Linked DNA regions of Danio rerio. The protein of the gene in region 1 interacts with the protein of each later gene in a biochemical or structural test. Links are inferred from orthologs where the notes say so. Each region holds a gene or a part of one and is shown on either strand. Other genes may lie near its edges.

Region 1 (3,935 bases):
GATATATATATATATATATATATATATATATATATATATATATATATATATATATATATATATATATATATATTGTACCTGCTGCAATATGAGTGTATATAGTATATAAACACTATATATATATATAAAAAATATAAAATACTAAAATATAAAATACTATATATAAAAAAATATATTTTTAATGCTTGTTCAAACTATTTATTTAAAATGAGCTGAATCAACACAATTATTGAGTTATTTTTAATAACTTGTTTTACGTTCAATTCACTTAAATTTGATAAAACATTTAAGTTAACATAATTGATTTTTGTTAGGACAACTTAAAAGAATTGTGTGGAACCCAGCATTTTAACAGTGAGATGTGAAGACTATACTATATGTCAAAAGTCCTAGTGTAGCAGTACTGTCATATCTACTTCACATACAATTCTAGAAATTTAGTTTGTATGATTAATATCTTTTACATTTCTATTTTCATTGTAGTAGCTTTTAGGATAATACCATGTTTTTGATAGTGTTGTTTAGTTACCTTTTATATAACCATCATCCCAAATGGTTAAACTATGCTTAGTGTAGTTGGTTACCACGTGTACTTGTACATGGTTTGGCTATAATGAATTTTCATAAGGATATGTGAAGAGTTCAGATGCAAACACCTGTAAGCGCCATCTGATTTTTTTCTCCTAAAATTAGCATTTTTCAAATGTAAAAGTTGAGTAATTTTCCTTTTATGTCAATTAATATTCTATTTTCATTGCATTTTATATGAAATTAGTGTATATAAATATAGAAGTTTCAAAAAATTATAATTTTGAAAATTTTAAGATGAAACTTTGAGGTTTTTGCATCTTAACTCTTCATATATGTTTTAGGGGAGTTTTTAACTTGACACTCCTGACAACATAAAAAGTGCTGAAGTTAAACTATTTTTAATGCTAAAAAAAAAAATAAAATAAAAAAAAAAATATATATATATATATATATATATATATATATATATATATATATATATATATATATATATATATATATATATATATATATAGCATTTAGCTGATTTAACATTAAATCAACATTAGAAATCCTTTAGAGAACCAGGTGCTCAAATAACCATAGATCGGCCTCTAGCGGAGACGCGCCTTACTGCAGCAGTTACTTCACAGGCATCCCATTAGATGCTGTGAATGGCAGATACACCGTACTTAAATATAAACACTTTCTTTAAAAAAATAAATAAATAAATAAGATACAAGAAAAAGTGACGCTTGACCATGAAAACATACTTTGAACCATTTATTATAGATTGAGTGAAATGAAAATACAATAGCTAAGACAAGGAACGGAATAGACCGAATCCTCAGTGACAAGAAATAACTGACATTACTAAATGATCAAACAAAAAGCAGTGCGACGAAAATAATCAGCACTGCGGCAAATAAAACGGAACTAAACGGAAGCAGCAGTCATAAAAAGCAAAAGTATGTTTATGGAATGTGGTGGCTGGAATTTGTGCGTTTTTCCCTCGTGTGTAAGTCAGACAAACGCTCTGTGAGGTAACGCAAGCTCGTCCCTTTTCCCTTTCAGCATCTGATTGGAGGAGACGCGCGCTCAGGAATGCCATGAAACTATTTAAATAGCACTTTGCTCTCTTTGGAAATAGTTAGATTGACCACTGTAACTACTACAGCAAAGCAACATCGAATGCTGTAGATCGCGACTAAAAAGGAAAATTATTTCTTATACGACCTTTGATTGACGCATCTTAGGAATAATATCACTTTTCCCTGGATTTGCTGCTGTTTTAAACTCTTGGAAGGTGCGTTTAAGTTTTTTTTAAACCTTTGATTGATCAGACCTGTTTGAGGGTACGTTTGGCTCATTTTTAAATAACTTTTGCCTTTATTTGTGATTTCTGATAGGTTAAAGAATAAGTGATAAAATGAAGTCAACTGCAATCTTTTTGCTACTGATGCTTTGGAACTGCGAGAGCGCGAGAGTCGCAGGTGAGCGATGATTCTTGAGCTGGTGCCGTTCAGTGATTGGGACTGCTCCAGTCCTGTGGTTAAAAGAACAACTAGCTGTTAAATATTACAAAATTACTAGCCATTTGGTTATTATGCCAAAATATACTTGGGACTTGTGGGTTTATTATGTGACTTTTTAGCATCGGAAAAAAATATTTTAAGAAATATTTAAACTAAAAATAAGAATGTCTATTTTAAGTTTAACATGTTTATATTTCTCAAAAAATTCCTCAAGTATATTTCATATAGTCACCATAAAATCCATTTAAAGAAAACAGTCTACCTATGCCTTCAGTATAATAACGTACTTTATGGAATAAAGTTTAATTTCATAAATAAAAAGTAGTTAATCACCTCATAATTCACAGTATACTTTTATAAACTAAAAACGGAACAATTTAGTCACAATTAGTACACATAAAAATATATATTTAAGTCTGCTACTTAAGTAAAAGTATTCAAATATACCTACCTGAAATACACATGCTTGTTTGTAACGATACATTATATGAGCGTATGTGACCGGTCAGTTATATTGAGTTGCTATGGGCAACGATATTTGATTCAGATAATTGACAGCTGAACTGACCAATCAGAATCAAGTACCACAGAGAGCCGCGTATCAATTTAAAAGTAATCTTTAATGTTTGATATATCCATTATAACGAGATTTATTTAACCTTCCTGATAGAGAGTCGAGACGACAACAGTGTTTACGATCTGTTCGAGCTGGTCCAAGTACCAAGGAAAAACCACGGAGTGACCCTGGTGAAAGGCGACGACCCGTACAGCCCCGCCTACAAGATCCTGAACCCCGACCTGATCCCCCCGGTCCCCGAGAGCGCCTTTAGGGACCTAATCGATTCCATTCACGCCGAGAAAGGATTTCTGCTGCTGGTTAATTTCAAGCAGTTCAAACGCACGAGGGGAAGCCTGCTGACTGTGGAGAAGAATGACGGTTCTGGACCCGTGTTTGAAATCGTTTCCAACGGGAAAGCCAACACTCTGGACATTGTTTTTTCCACCGAGAACAAGCAGCAGGTCGTGTCCATCGAGGAAGCGGACTTGGCGGTGGGACACTGGAAAAACATCACTCTTTTCGTGCAAGAGGACAGGGTTCAGTTCTATGTGGGATGTGAGGAGGTGAACGTGGCGGAGCTCGATGCCTCAATCCACACCATCCTGACTCAGGAGATTCCAGGTGTGGCCAAAATGAGGATCGGTAAAGGCGCGGTGAAGGACAGGTTCATGGTGAGTGGACTGTTCACTGTATGAACTCTGTTGCATGTTAACAGAAGCGATGAGAAGTACTAACCACTTGTGGATTTTTAGGGGGTGTTGCAAAACGTGCGCTTTGTATTCGGAACCACGCTGGAAGCCATCCTGAGGAATAAAGGGTGCCAAAACTGTAAGTGTAATGCAGAACACATGAGTATGCATCCATAAGAATAATGATGAATGCAAGCTTTTGTGCACATGTTGGTTCGGTTTTCTTTACATATTAACTTTTAAATAAGTGTCTTTTTAATAAAAAAATAATTAAATTATATTTTTCTAAAAAATCGTTGGACCATAAAATTAGCAATACATCTTTTCTTTTAAGTGCAACAAAATGAACCAGGCAAACAAAAAAGCATCACATCATAAATCCAAATACATCGTCTTCTGTGCCAGTGAATGAATAATAGCAAAATTAGACCGATAATTTAAGCTGTATTCACTTTTCCATTCATTTTTAATTGAAGTCTTCTGTTTGCTCATTTTTTATAATAATCTTTAAGCCATCTGTATATCTTTTTTTTCTAGCAGCAATGACTGATATCATTACCCTTGACAATCCCATAAATGGATCCAGCCCTGCAATCAGGACAGATTACACTGGCCACAAAACAAAAGGTAAACCTTAGTTTT
Region 2 (3,935 bases), about 14 Mb from region 1:
ACACACTCAACATGTTTTCATTGGTCTGTTTTTGTATCGTAGGCTTTATTTTTCTTGTCATTTTTTCTATTTGCACTTCAGCTCAAATCTTGATTGCACTAGTTTATTCTCATGGTTGCTTGACACAGTGTTCAGAATTGCAAAATTAGGTTGTTCTGTTTGTATTGAGTTAGCGTAGGACGGCTCCAGCTTTCTCAGTTGATAATTAACTTGTAGATTTGTGTTCTTTTTAGATGGACTAAATTAATACATAATGCGGTTTATTTTATTATTTAAAAATTCTGCCTTTAATATAAATGTTTAGATTTTGGGATCTTACTCTTAAAATTAAAAATAAATAATCAATAAATAAACAGCAAGTAACACAGTGAATTAAATAGGACATTAAGTCCACTGCCAAAAAAAGTTCCATTCCTATTACTGTTTACTATTTTGTGTATTTAATTCGAGATTTACTTCCAAGTGTGACCAAAAGGTGAGTGCCTTATTTTATTTTGTGTATCTTTTCAGCTGTATATGGTTGAGAGAGGAAGCTCAGTGAGGTTTATGCTGTTAATTTTCATCTTTGATTTTTGCATTAGGTGAGCTAGTACTCTAAACTTAGCTAGCTGCTTTCTGTTTGTTGTTTTAAGCTATACTCACTCAGTTTGACATCTAGTTTCTGTTAAAGTACCTATATTTCTATCAAATAAATTATACATTTCTAAACCTTGTGCTGACTCTTCACTCTTATCTTTTTTATTAGTACTAATTCAATATTATTCACCAAATTTTAGGCTTTTTTAAATTTTTTTTACACATTTTAGACAAGAAGGTCGTAACACATTGGATCAACTTAAAAAAATTAACTTAAAAAACAACAACTTTTTATTTTAGGTATAGCATGTTAATGTAAAGTTTATCTAATATTACACCTTGTACAGTGGTGAAAGACAGAAATTGTATTATAATTGTATATTAGTTTTTATTATTTAAAATGTTATGTATATATTTTACATTAACAATCTTGTTGTTTAATTGATTGCTTTATTTAGATATATACTTTCTCTGCTGATCCTCATTGTTTTTTATCAGTGCAATTTACTATGAATATATGCAAATGCAAAGTAAAACCAAAGTTGATAATCAAATAAAAAAAAACAACAACTCTCTGATAAATCATGTGATCATAAACAGTAATGATGGGTTCAAACAAACCGATCGACAAATCAAACACTTTTTGACCTGGTCCATGTCCTTGTTAGGACAATGATTGACTGATGAGTGACGGCCGGTGATGTTTGTTGTACTGTCATGTTTAAAAGATTGAAAACCTCTCAAAGTCCCTGCCTGTCAATGCTCCGACATGGAGGTACACAAAGCAGTTCTTTTACTTGGTCTCTTTCTTTTTACAGGTAAGGATGCTTAAAATGGTTTAAATTTATCTCATATTTGTGATTAAAAAATACTAATTTAGCATTTGTTTATCTTTATATAATTAACATGATCATAATATCTCCAGGTTTTCTCAGGAGTCACAGTCAAAGCACAGGTACTGTAGGAAGTTTAGTTCATGTTTGACACAAAAATCTTTGGAGATCAAAGGTTATATCTTTATATTTTAGACTTATTCTGAATTAAGCTTGCATTTGTGACTTACTTTTTCTATATTTCAACAGATGTTCTGGAAGCATATATTAAAACTGATGGGGCCTGGATAGTGAAATTGCCTAAATCTCAATATACTGTCAATACAGTGGAGGAATGTGCCGTCAAGTGTAACAAAGAGGTTTCCTTTACATGCAGGTGCATTATTAAAACCTTCAAAATATACTGTTTAGCACTAAAGCAGTCTAATGTGTGATCATCCATGCTATTCAAATAAAATTTGGGATTTATATGTGCTTGTCAGGTCCTTCTTGTACATCGAAAAAGATCAGGATTGTGTAACATTACCTGCCAACTCAAAAACTGATCAAATACTGAGAAGAATGAGTGCTGCCCTCTACGAGAAAAAGGGTAAGATTTGATCATCTAATCCATTATTTTGTGGTTTTGAAAGTTTGACAGCGAACTCTCTAAGTAATTTAAGCACTCATCACTCTTGTTTGAATTGAGCTTTAAGTGCACTTGGAATTAATAGAGACAGGCTTTTTCTTGTTTTATTTTTTCAAGAGCCTGGGTTAATATATAATCCGCATTTATCAAAGTGTAGTTTGGTCCATGTCAGTAAACAAAGTGAAGAAGACTATCTAAAAATCCATCATCCAATGAGGGATTGCTCATGCATGTATTAGGCACTGACCCGGTTACAAAAAATTGTCCTTAACAAACATTTGTTCTCTGTTCTCTGGTTTTGGTTTAGGAGCCAAATTTTACATATTAAATAATGTTGTGATTCAACTCTGCTACATAAATATTATCACTAAATCAAATATCAACTGTATTAAAATTTGTCACAAATTACCATGTAGCAGTGTAGAAAATGGGCTAGGTTAATGCTTGGCTATCACATGTAAACACAGGTTCAAAATACTGCAGATCTTGGTTCACCTTATGAAACATCAATAGATATAAGAAGCATTTTACAACAGCTTACTTTTTTGCCCAACGTACGCACAGTTAATGGGTCACATTTCATCATTCGCATCTTTTTTACAAGACCAGTTTTTCTGTCACAAACCCTAGCGGACTATGCAGAATGTACAGTAACTACCATTATCCACAGTTCTACTGTATATCGACATCATTAGTAAACAAAGCGTTGTTAAGTATGCTGTAACCAATTGATTGAATTCCTTCATACAGAGTACTTACTGGAATGTGTAAATGGCATTGGCATGGACTACAGAGGGACAAAATCCAAGACAAAATCAGGGAAAACATGTCAGCGATGGGAGGGAACTTTCCCCCATGTACCCAAGTATGCTTCTTTATCAAATTTGTGTTTCAGGATGCTGTAAAAGACAAAATGTTTATCACAGTGAACAGCTAAATAACTTCAGTCATATCTTCCCGCAGCATAACACCAAGAGCTTACCCAAAAGCAGATTTGGAGTCCAACTTTTGTCGAAACCCAGATGGAGATAAGGGGGGTCCCTGGTGCTACACCACAGATCCTGAGAAACGATGGGAGCACTGCAATATCCAAGACTGCACAGGTGCATTCAGCAATTAAACTTGTACATAATGATAAGAAATCATACAGATGGATGGAGAAATCCCATGCAAAATCTCACTGTTGCTTTCATTTAAAATGAGGGAGTAGACTATTTGCTTTATAAACAAATCCTACATCTAACCCCCTGGTAACATCATTACACTGATAACTATATGGTGTGATAAAATAAATTGAGAAGATTTGCTACTTAATCATGCAAATATTTAGAAATGATCTTGTACCTTTAACTAATGGCTCATTTTCACTGAGTGGTTACGGTGCGATACAGTTAAATACAGCACACATTAATTTCCATTTCCACTGTTATAAGTATCAAAATAGTGAAACATAGCATACATTTTGGGACCCTTTCGCAAGAGTACCTTGCACAACAGTATTGTAAAAGGTTGGAGCAATACTCGCAGCTGAATGCTATTGGTTTACAGAGAATCATTACTTGTGCATGCAACAAGAAAAGGGACCAACAACACTGGAAGTGCCATTTTAAAATACACAGCTGAAACATGACATAATAATGATACAATAATGACACACAGCTATGAACAAAGATTAAAGAGCCCCCATTATGCATTATTAAAGGCCATATTTTGGTTTTGGCTGTGTCCAACAACAGTCTGATATGCATGCAAGGTCTAAAACACTTTCATTGTCTTATAATATGCATTTATTTTTACCCAATTATCTCAACGACTCCCAAAGGATTTGTTCAGCGATTTATTTGTTCCCTAAACCCCTCCTCAGCCCAATGCTAATCTGCACTGATGACAGCGTGAGA

Evidence for each region.
Region 2: the proteins of thbs1b (region 1) and plg form a complex in vitro, tested with the Homo sapiens proteins (2 studies listed by BioGRID). The link is inferred for Danio rerio from reciprocal best matches to the Homo sapiens genes THBS1 and PLG.

The regions. Positions count from the first base shown.
Region 1 is NC_133195.1:31,786,172-31,790,106, reverse strand, and holds the start of thbs1b (thrombospondin-1), read left to right. Parts: upstream 1-1,658; 5' UTR 1,659-1,816; intron 1,817-1,919; 5' UTR 1,920-1,939; coding exon 1,940-2,003; intron 2,004-2,715; coding exon 2,716-3,275; intron 3,276-3,356; coding exon 3,357-3,432; intron 3,433-3,830; coding exon 3,831-3,920; intron 3,921-3,935. UniProt on the Homo sapiens protein: Adhesive glycoprotein that mediates cell-to-cell and cell-to-matrix interactions.
Region 2 is NC_133195.1:46,004,069-46,008,003, reverse strand, and holds the start of plg (plasminogen precursor), read left to right. Parts: upstream 1-1,340; 5' UTR 1,341-1,345; coding exon 1,346-1,394; intron 1,395-1,501; coding exon 1,502-1,531; intron 1,532-1,658; coding exon 1,659-1,785; intron 1,786-1,891; coding exon 1,892-1,998; intron 1,999-2,787; coding exon 2,788-2,902; intron 2,903-3,000; coding exon 3,001-3,140; intron 3,141-3,935. UniProt on the Homo sapiens protein: Plasmin dissolves the fibrin of blood clots and acts as a proteolytic factor in a variety of other processes including embryonic development, tissue remodeling, tumor invasion, and inflammation. In ovulation, weakens the walls of the Graafian follicle.